Linked DNA regions of Drosophila melanogaster. The protein of the gene in region 2 binds, or shares a complex with, the protein of the main gene of each other region. Each region holds a gene or a part of one and is shown on either strand. Other genes may lie near its edges. A codon is read from its position in the direction of its gene.

Evidence for each region.
Region 1: the proteins of sbr (region 2) and Nxt1 are in contact, whole or in part, in a crystal structure (PDB 6IHJ), measured with the Drosophila melanogaster proteins. Residues at the interface, in NP_524660.1 of Drosophila melanogaster: Leu359, Leu360, Glu361, Thr362, Lys363, Ala364, Ser365, Tyr366, Met404, Leu405, Ser406, Ile407, Ser408, Met409, Pro410, Gln414, Arg426, Asn427, Leu428, Arg429, Arg438, Thr439, Leu442, Tyr444, Thr467, Val468, Asp469, Thr471, Ile472, Met477; in NP_611833.1 of Drosophila melanogaster: Met1 (codon at 4,365), Leu5 (codon at 4,296), Val9 (codon at 4,284), Glu10 (codon at 4,281), Ala13 (codon at 4,272), Asp17 (codon at 4,260), Arg21 (codon at 4,248), Thr43 (codon at 4,112), Ser45 (codon at 4,106), Trp46 (codon at 4,103), Asn47 (codon at 4,100), Gly48 (codon at 4,097), Asn49 (codon at 4,094), Gly50 (codon at 4,091), Ile52 (codon at 4,085), Tyr60 (codon at 4,061), Leu64 (codon at 4,049), Leu71 (codon at 4,028), Asn72 (codon at 4,025), Thr73 (codon at 4,022), Leu74 (codon at 4,019), Asp75 (codon at 4,016), Ala76 (codon at 4,013), Gln77 (codon at 4,010), Pro78 (codon at 4,007), Ile79 (codon at 4,004), Val80 (codon at 4,001), Asp81 (codon at 3,998), Leu91 (codon at 3,968), Met93 (codon at 3,962).

What each region holds. Positions count from the first base shown.
Region 1 is NT_033778.4:23,807,583-23,813,658, forward strand, and holds Nxt1 (NTF2-related export protein 1), read right to left. Parts: upstream 4,393-6,076; 5' UTR 4,366-4,392; coding exon 4,357-4,365; intron 4,300-4,356; coding exon 4,213-4,299; intron 4,156-4,212; coding exon of another isoform or gene 4,143-4,155; coding exon 3,837-4,142; 3' UTR 3,745-3,836; downstream 1-3,744. Other genes in the region: Ssrp (structure specific recognition protein), read right to left, coding at 1-1,150, 1,228-1,281; CG5543 (uncharacterized protein), read left to right, coding at 1,777-3,744; pippin, read right to left, coding at 4,844-5,923.
Region 2 is NC_004354.4:10,842,355-10,850,566, forward strand, and holds the start of sbr (small bristles), read right to left. Parts: upstream 4,739-8,212; 5' UTR 4,235-4,738; coding exon 4,138-4,234; intron 4,074-4,137; coding exon 3,913-4,073; intron 3,846-3,912; coding exon 3,753-3,845; intron 2,728-3,752; exon of another isoform or gene 2,566-2,727; coding exon of another isoform or gene 751-2,565; exon of another isoform or gene 336-750; coding exon of another isoform or gene 1-335. Other genes in the region: CG15209 (uncharacterized protein), read left to right, coding at 1-335; CG32669 (uncharacterized protein), read right to left, coding at 751-2,565; Pgls (6-phosphogluconolactonase), read left to right, coding at 5,146-5,284, 5,416-5,891, 6,011-6,127; CG2202 (uncharacterized protein), read left to right, coding at 6,541-7,621, 7,680-8,212. UniProt on the Drosophila melanogaster protein: Mediates the export of the majority of mRNAs from the nucleus to the cytoplasm. In ovarian follicle cells, plays a role in transposable element silencing regulation by enabling the nuclear export of flamenco (flam) transcripts and subsequent piRNA biogenesis.

The DNA.
Region 1 (6,076 bases), on a different chromosome or scaffold from region 2:
TGTGAACAGTTCCGTTCTTGAGCGTCACTTCGAAGTCGAAAGATCGCGTGGATCCGCCGCTGCGGGCAAAGTTCACAGAACTAATCTCCTCAAAGCGGATATGCAGCGGTGGCTTGTGGATATAGATGAATCCTCGCTCCAGGGGATACAGATATCCAGCTGCAGCCTTGAACGAGCAGCCCACTGCAGCCGTGCCAGAGTGTCCGATAAAGTTACCGGGTCCGGTAATTTTTCGACCGATCAGCACCTTCATCACTTTGCCCATCACCTCGTACACCGGCCCGGAGATCTCTTTCTCCAGCTTGCCCTCGTACTTGTCTCGCAACTCGGCTTCCGAGAATGGCAGCTCAATGGTGGTCTCCTCATCGGGAGCAAACAGCAGGACCAGGTAGTGGTAACGCGTTTGTCCCTGCTTGATGGGCGGATCCAAGGAGAGCACAAAGAACATCTGTCGACTGTCTTTGTGGGGCAGCATGAAGAGCCGCAGCACCGAGTCCATGGGAATCTTGTAGTCGAACGTCTTGCCGTGCAGCTGGAAGAAGGTCGAGAAGATCTTGATGTCATAGCGACCGCGAGGCGTGAGGATCTGGATCTCTCTGAAAATGGCGATGGACTCGCCCGAAGCCGAGATGACCGAGGCCTTGCTCATTACGTTCTGGTGGAACTTGTCTACCGGATCCTCCTCGGCCGACTCCACGGCGGGTATGTGGAACCGCATCTCCAGTAGACCCACGGGCGCATCGTCGTTTTGGTGGAACTCCAGGGTGACCTCGTTCTTGCCGGTCACGCACTGCGAAACGTGCGACAGCGGCACCTCGAAGATGGTCTTCGACTCCTTGTCGAAGCTCAGGACGGAGCCCATGAAGCGGGCGGTGCCCCAGTTCCAGCCCTTGACGCACATCTCCTTCTCGACCATCTCCTGCGAGTAGGCAGCCTTGATAAACTTGCCCAGCTTCTCGTGCTCGCTGTCGCGGAATCCGGTGAAGCGGTGGAGCACGCCGCCTTTGGTGAACACCCTCAGTCCCCAGGTGCCCACGAACTTCTGCGAATTGATCAGGTCTATGTCCTCTGCCGAGATCTGCTCCACCTTGCCGGTCTTGGTGTTCTTGAAGATGATGTTCTGCTCGGTCATCTTTAGGCGTCCGGAACACTTTTTTGCGCGCAGGGAAATGGAAAACCTCGGTCATGCGAAATGTGACAAAATACGCCGGCTTTTTTGCGACTCACCAAGACTCCGCGCACTTCGGCGTTTATGTCGTTGTACTCCAGAGAGTCTGTCATCCTGCACTTCTTCCTCTCCAGTAACAAGATAATAGATCAACTATGTATTACGCCGCCTTGCGAAATTGTCACCAATTTACAATAATTCCGGCAGACACAAAACAACACTGCGCGCCTAATTTTAGGTTAGACGCCAGTCAGCTATATTAGAGTGACCGTATGTGTGTTTAGTATTTTTGAGTGCACTATTCTTAAATTGCAATCGATATAAACTCTTAATATTCCAATGCAGTTTCCTTTATTGTTTATATATATCTTGTTTGCAATACATGAACAATATATGAGTCATTATTAAATTGAAAAATTTTAATGGGCAAGCCAGAGCTTATTTAAAGACCATAACAATTCGCTCGATCTTTTAAAATACCAAATTGACAGTCCGAATATAAACGGTCACTTAATTCACTTGTTTACAAAATATTTACCGCATATTTTCAGAGAAATATAGTTTTAATTAAAAATTTGAAAATCCACTTAGCGTGGGGCCTTAAAACTATGCAACGCGGTAAAATTTCCTTCGGGAAAATCAAACTGAATGTAAACGTACCTCCTGCGGAGCCAAGATCCAACGAAACCGAGGCGGAAGATGCAAAGGAGTCCACTGAAGCCAGCGGAAATGGCGGAGGATTCAAGAAAATGGACAAGGAGCAGATGATTCGGCAGATCGAGGACGTGGCCGAAGATCTGGAGAGCCAGCACCTCAAGGAAGTGATGGGCATCAGTGGCTTTGGTCGCAAGGCGGCCAAGGTGTTCGACATCAACGAGCAGATAGAAAAGGCGAGAGTTACCCGCCCGGGAATGGACAAAAAAAGGGAGGAGTCCAAGCCGAAGGAGGATGACCAGAAAGACGAGGAAGAGGAGGACGTAATAGGTCCCCTACCACCAGCTGTGACCACAGACAAGGAGAAAGCCACGAAGGAATCGTCCAAAGACGAAGACTCCGATGACGATGATTATTCGTCCGATGAAGATTCAGATGACGAACAAAGCCTTGCTAAGCGCATACCCTACACACACGAGGTGCAGATGCAGCACGGTTCCCGCGCTGTCCTTGCCCTGGCTGGCGATCCCTCGGGTGCCCGCTTGGTCTCTGGTTCCATAGACTACGATATGTGCTTCTGGGATTTCGCCGGCATGGACTCGAGCATGCGTAGCTTCCGGCAACTGCAGCCGTGCGAGAACCATCCCATACGTTCTCTCCAGTACTCCGTGACCGGCGACATGATCCTGGTCATCTCCGGAAACGCCCAGGCCAAGGTCCTCGACCGCGATGGATTCGAGAAACTGGAGTGCTGCAAGGGCGACCAGTATATCTCGGACATGTCGCGCACCAAGGGCCACGTGGCACAGTTGACCTCCGGCTGCTGGCATCCATTTAACAGGGAGCAGTTCCTGACCGCAGCTCTCGACGGTACTCTGCGCATCTGGCAGGGATTGAAGTCCAAGGAACAGTTGCAGGTGATCAAGACAAGGGCGCAGGGAGGCCTCCGCACCAACGCAGCATCATGCAACTTTAACAGGGACGCCACACTCATAGCAGCGGGCTGCGTGGATGGTTCCATTCAGACGTGGGACACGCGCAAGATGTTTGTGAACACCACGCACTGCGTCAGGGATGCGCATCAGAAGGGTTCGGAGATCACCTCCATTGTGTTCTCGTACATGGGTCAGCAGTTGGCCACTCGCAGCAACGACGAGACCATGAAGCTTTGGGATCTGCGGCAGTTCAAACAGCCGCTGCATACCTGGACAAACCTGTTCTCCCGCTACGACACAACAGATTGCTGCTTTAGTCCAGATGACCGTCTGCTAGTCACCGGAGAATCGCTTCCGAAGGGCCAGGCCGAAGCGAACCTGTATTTCTACAGCACTAAGAGCTACGAGGAAGTGCAGCGGATTCCCGTGTCCAACGCGCACGTGGTGAAAACGCTGTGGCACCCAAAGCTCAACCAACTGTTCGTGAGCTGTGGCAATGGAACCATTAAGTGCTATTACGATGAGCACCGCAGCATCCGGGGCGCCAAGCTGTGCGTAGTGAAGACGCATCGCAAGAGGCAGCCCATGGAGATGGTGGGAGTCTCCCAGATCATTACGCCGCACGCCCTGCCATTGTTCAGGCAGGAAAAGTCCCGTACCTCGCGTAAGCGGATGGAGAAGGCCCGTATGGATCCTGTCAAGTCCCAGCGACCGGACTTGCCCATCACCAGCGGTCAGGGCGGCCGCGTGGCCAGCTCCGGCGGCACCCTCTCCTCCTATGTCATCCGCAATCTGGGCCTGAGCAAGCGGGTGGACGACGACCAGGATCCCAGGGAAGCCATCTTGAAGTATGCCAAGGACGCAGCCGAGAATCCTTACTGGATAGCACCGGCCTACAAGCAGACGCAGCCAAAGGCCATCTTCTCCGAAAAACTACCCGCCGACGAGCCGGCCACCAAGAAGCCCAAGACAGAGGCGGACAAATAGGAAGTCAATCTATTTATAAGAGCTTAGATATGTTAATAAACTCGTTACGACGTAAGAACTTTAGCTTAGCTTAAAATACAAGTGTGTGGATCTCAGACCTCCTGCATTCGGTAGCAATCGGAGACGACCTTCCATTTATCATTCTCGGCGGTAACGATGAAAGTCTGCTGAAATTTGCGTAACTGCTGATCTGCGAACTTGACGGAGCCGCTGGCCATGATGAGGTAGGCCAGCTGGTTGGACACAGCCTGATCCACAATAGGCTGCGCGTCCAGGGTGTTCAACTGGTGGTTTGAGGATGGCAGCTCCTGAAAGTAGCTCTCGATCATCTGGCGGCCGATGGCCCCGTTTCCATTCCAGCTAAGCGTAGCATTGTCCAAATAGAGGCGTCCAATTTGCTGCAGGTGGAATCTATTTGAGTTTCGTTTTCCCATGAAATGCAGACTTTCAAGGCGGATCTCTACTTACTTGGCGTCGGTTGTCCACGGAGGCGTAGTACAGGCGTGTGAAGGTATCCGCCGTACGGGCGCAGCTCTCGACCTTGGCTTTCAAATCCTTTAAACAAATAGTTGCTATGCTAAATTGCTAAAAAACTAAATATTTTCAACTCACGCTGTCCATGTTTCCCGCGATTCTCGAATTAGAGTGACCGTCCTCGGGTGGTCAGAAAAAAACTCTCCAGAAAGAAAGAAACAAAAATATTACTACCACCATTTGAAATACAAAAACGCTACTAATCTACGTGAGTACCCTTAATATTTATTTAAAGTTTAAAAAAGTCAAGATGTTCAAACACTTAAAAACAAGTTTATTGCAAACATTTTCTGCAAATTGCCCGAAAAACAAATGATGACTTTTATTTTTCAAGTTGTTTATTTCTAATCATAATTTTAATTAACAATTAGACACAATTTAAAGCATAGCGATCACAATTTGAATTGGTAACCTAACATTTGAAGATTCCCTGTCGGAGTGGCCCATTGGGGGTCACTGGAAAATCGAGCGAGTCTAGGGCGACTACGAGGCACTGCGGCTAGAACTATGAGTATGGCTAAAACTAGCTAAGCTAAGACCTGTTTTAAGACTAAAGCCCCCCGACCTAGGCCTCCAGCCCCCGGGTGTCCTTCAATGGCTCCAGGGGCTGCAGGTTGACCGTCTTGTAGCCTCGATCCCGCCGGAACCAGAGCCAGTTGTCCCCGTTGAAATAGTCCTCGATGTGCTCCAGGCTGCGGCCCTTCGTCTCCGGCTGGAAAAGGCACATAAAGGCAGTGAGCAGGAAACTGGACACGCCGAAGACCAGGAACACGCCGCGCATCTTGAGCATGGCCTGCAAAGCGGGAAACTTCTTCGCGAAGATGAACAGAGCGACGTTCATGGAGGCAAACACTCCGCCGGCAGTCCGTCCGCGTATCCTAGCCGGGAAGAGCTCGCCGATCATAATGCCGGGCATCACCATCAGAGCCGTGTTGAAGATGATGTAGCCCAAGAGACAGCCGGCACCAACGAATACGTCGTACGACATTTTCGGTTGATCGAATCTGGCATACTGATAGACACTGAGCACCAGGCAGAACAAGCCGGAGCCGATTCCCGACACTATCATGATCCTGCGGCGGCGAACGAAGATCAGGACTACGCAGAAGACCATGCAGCAGATCACCCGGACAACTGCCGTCGCAATGGCCGCCTGCTTGGAGTCGAACTCCGCTCCGAACTCCGAGATCATGTCCACGGCATAGAAGATCACGATGAACGTGCCGGAGAACATCTGCAGCAGCGAGAACACGATCACAATGACCAGCGGCTTGATGGCCACGCGCTGGCAGCACAGCTGGAAGATGTTCTCGTTCGTCTTGGTGGTCACCCGCTCCTTGGCCAGCCTCTGCTTCATATCATTCAGCTCCTTCTGCGCACTGATCTCGCTGCCCCGCAGGAACGAGAGGGCCTGCAGCGCACGCTTCTCGTGGCCATTGCGGAGTAGCCAGGCCGGAGTCTCCGGTATAAACGAGATAGACACCATGGACAGCAGGGGCAGCACGTTGGCGCACCACGCAACACTACGCCAGTACATCATGGAGCCCAGGGAGTAGACCATTAGGATGCCGCTTGAGTAGGCCACATAGGGCGCGCCGATCAGCAGACTCCGCAGATTGGGTTCCGCCGTTTCCGCAATGTACACCTTCGAGAAGGTAAAATAAAATAATGAATGAAGGCCAAAATAGTAAGTTTATATAGTAAGTCTACATTAATCCTAATCCAGCTTATCCACGTTGACCATCAATTATATAAATGATACTATTACTATTACTTTCTGATACATGACCACCTTGAA
Region 2 (8,212 bases):
TCGACGAGCCATTGGGTCAGCAACGTCAGCATAAACAGCAGCATGTGCAGCAGATGCAGCGCATGGTGAAGAGCGAAGCGGTGCCAGAGTCGGAGTTCGTCGGAAAAATTGCGCCACGCAATGAGCAGAATCCGGAGGATGAATACGATGCCGTCACATTGGTGGAGGAGCTAGAGGCCGCCGGAGTTAAGCTGGCCGATCGACGTGATCTGCGCAAGCTAACCTACACGGAGCTGGCCCGCCTGCTAGCCCTATGGCATCTGTCCCAGAATCGCAATGTTTACAATGCCAAAGGACCGGAGGAGCAGCCCAATCAGGCCATCGATGAGCGTTAATTTAGTTGCTTAATGAGTAAGCTCGTTTATTTAAAGCCAAAGTTCACTTAATATATATATACATATATATATATATATATATTTTGTGTGACAAGAGAAAAAGGCTAGTAGTACGCTCCACGGAGAACGAAGTGGGATGACCCATGCAGATATACATACTATGGCAACTATATGATATTCTCCGACCTGACTTTCTTTAGAACATTATAAGGAGCATTGTAATTCCAGCAGCAATTCTTTCAAATAATAGTTTGCCTCATTTTTAGACTCGTATAGAAATGCAAATAAACTAAACCGTATTATTGTACAGCAAAGTTATTATTTCTTGCAGTGATAGCTAATGGAGAGTAACTAAGGTCAAAACGGCGCTACAAAAAAAAAACAAAAGAAAAAACTACTAAGGTGATGTGTTCAGTTACGCCACTGCCTTGTGTTTCTCCCACTCGATCTCGTCCAGCCGCGGCGGCGCCGTAGCGCTCTCTGTCGTGATGCCGCCAATCTCCGAACTGGTGCCGGTGACCACCAGGAGCGGCATTTGTCGCCGTTGCAAACGTTTGGCTATCGGCGGCACGAAGAGATCGTGCTTGATTAGCGTGCAGTCCGCATCCTGGTAGATGCGTCGATTGTTGTCCCATTTCAGCAGGGCAAACAGCCAGGACAACAGCCATCCGCCAAAGAAGGTTATCAGGAAGCCCAAAGCAGCGTACCACATGTAGCTAATCCTGTACAGGTAAAAGTAATGCTCTTCCTCGGCCACCGCTATCACAGTCTTGAGGAAAATGTCGCGGGCAAAGCTCCTGTCCACCGGACATCCAGCCGTGGACATATCCAAGCTGACCAGCGGTGGCTTCGGTTGTCCGAAACCGATCCAAAAGCAGAACGCCAGCGATATGAGCAGCCCACCAATGGCTCCCTTTTCATTCGCCTTGGTCACATACATGCCCAGCGTGAAGAGGCCCAGCAGAGGGCCTCCAATGATGCCGAAGATTGACAGTGCCGCCTGCAGTAGTCCGCCAATTGATCCCGCCATGAAGGCCATGCCAATGCAGAGGGCTCCGAAGAATAGGGACAACAGCTTGGAGTACCACAAGGTCTGACGGTCGGTGAGCGTGCGTTTGGCACAGCAGCTGACCAAGGGCTTGAGGTAATCCTCCAGGGTGACGGCTGCCAGCGAGCTGATTATCGAACTAATCGTGGAGAGGCTGGCGCAAAAGATTCCCGAAACGAAGAGGCCAGCCAAACCGGTGTATTCGCCCATCGTGTCCACGACAAAGAGCGGCATCACTTGATCGCGCGAGTTGACTCTACCCTCCAGCAGCGGGTCACAGTCGCGGTAGTACCAGTAGATGCACAGACCGGAGAAACAGGTGCTCAGACTAAGCAGGCACAGAATGGGCAGGCACCACCACAGGGCCGCTCGAGCGGCACTCAAACTCTTCACCGCCATCAGGCGCTGGACCTGCGTTTGATTCACACCATAGATGGCCAAATAGGTGGCACATCCGCCTAAAATCTGGGTGAACCAAGTGTGACGTTCCGTTGGATCCACACTGAAGTTGGTCAGATTGATGCGTCCGTTTTCCTGCGCCACGCGCCATATCACCTCCAAGCTGCCCGCCTTCACCCAGGCACAGATGATTACACTGAAGACAGCGGCGAACATGAGGAGCGACTGATAGATGTCCGTGATGAGTACGGCCTTCATTCCGCCGAGCGTCGCATAGAACGTGCACACGACTCCAACAATTACGATGGAGAAGACCTGGCTCAGTCCAGTGACAGCTTCCAGGGCCAGAGCCGGCGCATAGACCACAATGCCCATGTATAGGACCATCTGGAGCGAGAAGCTCAGCGAGGCGGCCAATCGGGTGGCATAGCCAAACCGCAGTTCCAGATACTCGTACACACTGGCCGTCTTTAGGCGATAGAAGACCGGAATGATGAGGTAGGCGGCCACCGGCGTGGACAACACATACGACAGATTGATCACGACGAACATTGTACCGTACTGGTAGTTCTCCATGGATACGCCCAATATGGTGACGGCCGACATGAAACTGGCCATCAGGCTAAAGGCCACAGGCGCCACGTTCATGGAACGATCCGCCAGAAGATATTCGGTGGTGGTGCTCTGCTTGCCGCCCACGAAACGGTAGTAGATGCCAATCGCAACGGAGATGATCAGCACCACCGCCAGGATCGTGTAGTCCCAGGCGCCCAAAGTAGCCATTGCAGATGCCGGGTTTTAAGTGGGGCACGTGTTAGGCTGATTTTCCCGACGGAACCCTAGTCGCACATCTAATCACTCCAAACTGATAAGTTGCCCCTAATCGGGCCTCTTGAGATTCAAGCGATATATTCTATGGGGCGTCGGACGTTGGAACACGTCTTCACCGTCTGCCGGCCGTCGATGAAATAAAGGCCCAAACGGAATGAAACCGCAAGCTTTTGTTGGTGGAGAGTCAGCATTGGGCATTTTACTATGGCATTTACGACCCCGTCGAGAGATAGCGACCTGTTGTGTTGCACCACGTGCGGCTGGATAGGGTGACAACCAGGCGAAGGATAACCCAACCGCAGGCCCGCAAGCCCTTAAAATGGGAAACCATTTAGGTGAGGGTCATGGCAACTGTCAAACCACCAAAGGCTCGACTTCATTGCACTTTTAGCTCGTGCCGACAAACACTTGTGGCTGGTACTGTGGACGACTGTGTTTAGCCATCCATAAATATTTATTTGCCCGCTCGTCGGATTGCAATTGTAATTGTAGTACCCGATTGTCGTTAGCTGTGTAGAGCTGGTATCCCCCCGGCCCAACTTTGGCTTGTTTGCTTTACGATTTTTACGAGGGAAATTAATTAATAAACACAAAGAGCCCAGTCGGCAAGTCGGCATTGGAGCTTTGGAAGCAGTGTACAAATAAACAAATAAGTCTCAACATTTCGCTGTAACTTATGCGATTCTTGCCGGATACTTTGCTCCCTCAACGCGATCTTTTGCCAATAACAAAAAAAAAAAGCCATCAGACGAATCACATGATGTTCTTGGAGACCAAAAATAGTTCTATGACTGCTGTCGTAAATCTGGTATCTATATGGACCAGTCTGGGGTTTGTAGTTCTATGTAGGGGCGGGAAATTAGTAGAGCACTGGAGCAAACTTCTGGAAGTTTTATGTGACGTTAGTAATCTAAATACTTAAAACTACATTTAACATATATGTACTTCGCATAAGAAGAGCCATCCAGTAGAACAGTCGATTAATTTGTATAATGGCGAACGTTATAAATCTAACAGGTGCTGGAGGACTGAATGCTTTTGCTTCTTTAGCTTAGTAATAAAACTACTATTAAATCACATGATTTTGGTCTGGGCCATTGCGGCTATGATATCTATATGACATGGTAGTCCAAACTCACCGTGACTTGGTACCAGCCAAAGCTGTTGGGCATCAGTTTGCCGAACTTGCCGCGCGGAATGGGCGATCCCCGACGTCGGGAGGTGGGTCTATCCTGTTGGAATTAATTATACATTAGATTAGAAATGTGCATAGGGATAACATGTGGGGTTGGTGGGCACCTTAACGGCCGTGGTCATGTCGCTCATGTCATCATCCTCGTCCCATCGACGCAAATCTTCGGGTCGCAGCTTGATGTCCTTTTTGTTATGTAGACATTGGGAGGGCTTAAAGCTGACGCGCCGCTTGTTTCGATCCTTGCGTCGCTGGCGATCCTCCACATCTATAGGAATACATTATATTTAGGTTACTGGAGGGTTCATTTTCTTGCACTCCCGTGTACTGACCAAAATCATCGAAATCCTCGGGAGCGTTGTAACGTCCGCCGCCATTTCCAACGTTGTTGTTGTACCGCTGGCTACTGCCACCGCCGCGTTTGGGCATCTTACTAATATTCACTCAAAAACGTATGCAACAAAAAGATATGCGAATTTCAGCACGTTTTTAGCTGAGTGGTGTTGTGTGTTTGTGTGGGTGCTGTTGTTATTACTGAGAAAACTGTCTTGAGGGCAAAAAACTATGTGCGATGTATTTTTTGCATTCACACAAACTGCTGCCAACTTCTGGAAAAATTTTTCTCGACTTCCTGAACCTATTTGCTAATATAGCAGCAAAGTAGCTGCTGTTTTTTGGCAAATTTCCACGGCCAAAGTACAACGCAATTTTGTGAAATTTAATTCACTAGCGATCTTCTTTCGATAGCCAGTGGCCGATGGTTGGCAGAAACTGGACGGATGTTTGCGACCTTTTTACAAGTTATTCTTCGAGGAAATTTGATTTAATTGCCACCAAAGCGAAAAAGTTACGAAAACTAACTAGAAATATGTAGCGAGCGAAGTATATTCGCTTGATGTTGATATTGTTTTCTTAATTTCTGACAGGTCTATCGATGATGGCGGGCCAACTATCGCACAGGTCGTAATCAGTGATGACACTCTAGCGCAGAACAACCGCGATAAATCTAAAGATTATTGGCTATTTTTTGTTTTGTTGCAGTTAAACTTTAGAATGCAATATTATTTTATTGGACTGTTTTGAAGAGAGTTACCTCATTCTTACTTTAAATATTATATAGTTGTAGCACACACGTACACACTCCTTTTTTGCTCAATATCAAATAAGTTGTTATTTTACGAATAGAGGTAGTGAAATGTTTTCGTATAAGATTTACTTACTTTCATTTTGTCGCAAACGGTGCAATGTATTTCATAAATTGGTAATCGATAGTTGAGAGAGGGAATGGTGATTACTGACAAATCGAAGTCGAGTCGAGTTTTATTATCAGATCAAGCAATATGTCGGAGAAAAAGGGTGCGCTAAAAGTAATCCCGTCCGCTTCGGAGGAGCAACTTGTCCAGGCCCTGGGCGATCTTCTCCAGCGCTGCTCCCAGGAGGCGCTGGCCAAACATGATAAGTTCAGCGTGGGACTTTCGGGTAAGGATCAACGCACAGGTCATGCAGGTCAAGTGGGTTGGCTTGTGATAAGCCAAACTTGAGGGGTGACCTTGCCAGGTGCGATCTTTAAACTTGTGCTCCCAAAGTCAAGTGTCTTGTTTCGCTTACAGGTGGTTCCCTCGTCCAGTTGCTAACGAAAGCCCTGAAATCGTGCAACTTAAAAACGGCCAAATGGGTGTTTTTCTTCTGTGACGAGCGGTATGTTCGCCTGGATGACAGCGATTCCACCTATGGTGCCTACAGGGCCGAGTGGCTAACCCAATTGCCCTGCATCCAGGAATCCCAGTTCGTCCGCGCCGATACCAGCCAACCGCTGGACGCCTGCGCCGCAGATTACGAGGCGAAGGTCAAAAGTCAAGTCGATCGCTTCGATCTGCTGCTGCTTGGCATGGGACCCGATGGCCACACCTGCTCCCTCTTTCCCGAGCAGCCAGCCACCCTGCAGGAGACCAAGCGCCTGGTTATCCCCATCCGGAACTCGCCCAAGCCGCCTCCCGAGCGGATCACTTTCACCCTGCCGCTGATCAATAAGGCACGGAATGTCGCCTTCGTGGTTACGGGCGCCGCAAAAGCCAGTGTCGTCAAGGTGAGGTCTCTTTAGCTTGATAAGATGGAAAAGAATATGAGCAAGAAATCTGATATTTTTAACCACAATTCAAAAACTTCATTTGTAAGGTTTATTTTTGTTGTTATTATATTTTTTAGAGTGTGTTTGTCGATCTGGACAAGAAGTTTCCCGCTGCGTGGGTGAATCCGACCAAAGGGCAGTTGACATTGATTGTGGACGCGGGTGCTGGAAAAGAAATTGAAACCTTAAAATGACATTCCTTAGTTAACTATCGCATCTTGTAAATAATAATTACCTTGATAATCTTTTCGAGAGCGTTTAATTTGTTGAGCTATTAAGGTTGGAGAAAATAAATAAACACTCCAAATATTGTGATTTTACAATTATTTTTGAATTTCTTTATATATTTATTTAATGTTTAGAAAATGTTTGTAAAATGCAAATCTGGTTTAAAAAAGCTATCGGCAACATGAAAAATATCGATATTTACGCAGTGTGGCCGAACTCGGTAACACAACAAATGGCGCACCCAGTATGACGGCACTCGCGAGCACAACAAACGCTTCGTATTGTTAAAATAAAAGAAAAATTATGAAAATTCAGCAGCAATTGTGCTAATTGTCGATGCCCACATGCAATAGCAAAGATCGAAGGACGCGCAACAGCCATGGCAACGCCACAGCCGCAGCCGCAGCTGGAGTTGGGTTCGTGCCAGGAGGCGCAAACTGAGCCGGCGGTCAGCAAGTTGGTTTCCCAGTTAGAGCCCCTGACCACAATGGACACCGTGGACGCGGAGCGCGTCTGCCGCGTGTGCCTAAAGGATGTATCGTTGGAGGGGGAGCTACACTTCATCTTCAACGAAACGCCCGTCGAGCAGGACGCAAATCTGGCCCGCATCCTGGACGAGTGCACCCTGCACCAGTGCGAGCGAAACGACGGCATGCCCCCACATATGTGCAGCTCCTGCGTGGAGGCGGCCCGCAACGCCTACCGCTTCAAGCGGCACGCGGAGCGTTCCTACTGCTCGCTGGTCGCATTGCTGGGCCGGTCGCCCCAGCTGAAGGCGCGAGGAGCCGAGGCGGCCAGTCAGACGGATCAGGTGGCCTTGCTGCCATGCGAAATGTGCCACGACCAGTTCCTCAACAGCCTGGAGCTCAGGCTGCACCGCAACCAGGTGCACAGAACGACCAAGGAGGCCACGTCGGCTGGCACAGATGGCCTGCCATCCGAGGATTTTAAGTGCAAATTTTGTCCGCAGCATTTCCCGCATCTCCGACAGCTGCGCAGCCATTTGGCGCGCAGCCACGAGCAGACCGCACGTCTACAGTGCGCCCATTGCCAACGCACCTTTAGCCGGCGGGATCATTTGCTGCGCCACATACGCAATCAGCACCGGGATGTGGAGGAGGATCTTTTGCGCACCTGGCCGCCGGCGGACGAGAATACTATGAACAGCGATGGCGGAGATGAGCTGGTCTCTGCGGAGGTGCTGTTAAACGAGGAGGATAACGAAGATGAAGTCGTTGGGGAAGCCTTTCAGTGCAATACGAATCCCATTTCCAGTAACGAAGATGATGGCGAAGAAGCCAATGGGGCCAATCAAACGCTGTGGCTGCACATCAAGCCGGAACCCTGCCTGGAGGCGGAAGAAGTCGACCTGGCCATGCAGCTAAAGCTCGAGAAGAAGCGTCGACGGCGGGAGAAGGCAGAAGCTCAAGCGGAAACTTCCATCGATCGGACTGTGAAGAGTAAGTGTGGTATGCTTAGATAAACAGAGAAATGTAGAACCCATTTATCATTCTTCAGACGAACACATTGCCATCGGCGACTCTCAGTTCAGCATTAAGGAAGAGAATCAACTTGTGGGCAGCGATGACGAGGCGCCAATGGGAGTGGAAGACTTCATGAAGCTCCATGTCAGCGGAGAGCTGCCGCTTAGCGATGAGGAGCGGTTCGATGGTTTTGCAGACGATGACAGTGACCTTGACGATGATGACGACGACGACGACGAGGAGGACGCTGGGGATGATGATGACGGAGAATTCCGGTTGAAACAGGAGCCGCTGGATGGCGAAAAGCCGCTGAAGAAGGCCAAGTCCGGCAGGCGGCGACGGCGGCGCAACAAGGACGAGCCCAATCCCGATAACCGCTGCGAGGTGTGCCAGCGCACCTTCTCGCGCCACTGCCACCTGCTGCGCCACAAGCTGTCGCACCTGGAGAAGAAGCCCCACAACTGCCCGCACTGCCCCAAGGCGTTCGCGCGCAGCGACCACCTCAAGGCGCATGTGCAGAGCCTACACAGCAACAAGGAGCACAAGTGTTCGCTCTGTGAGGCCGCC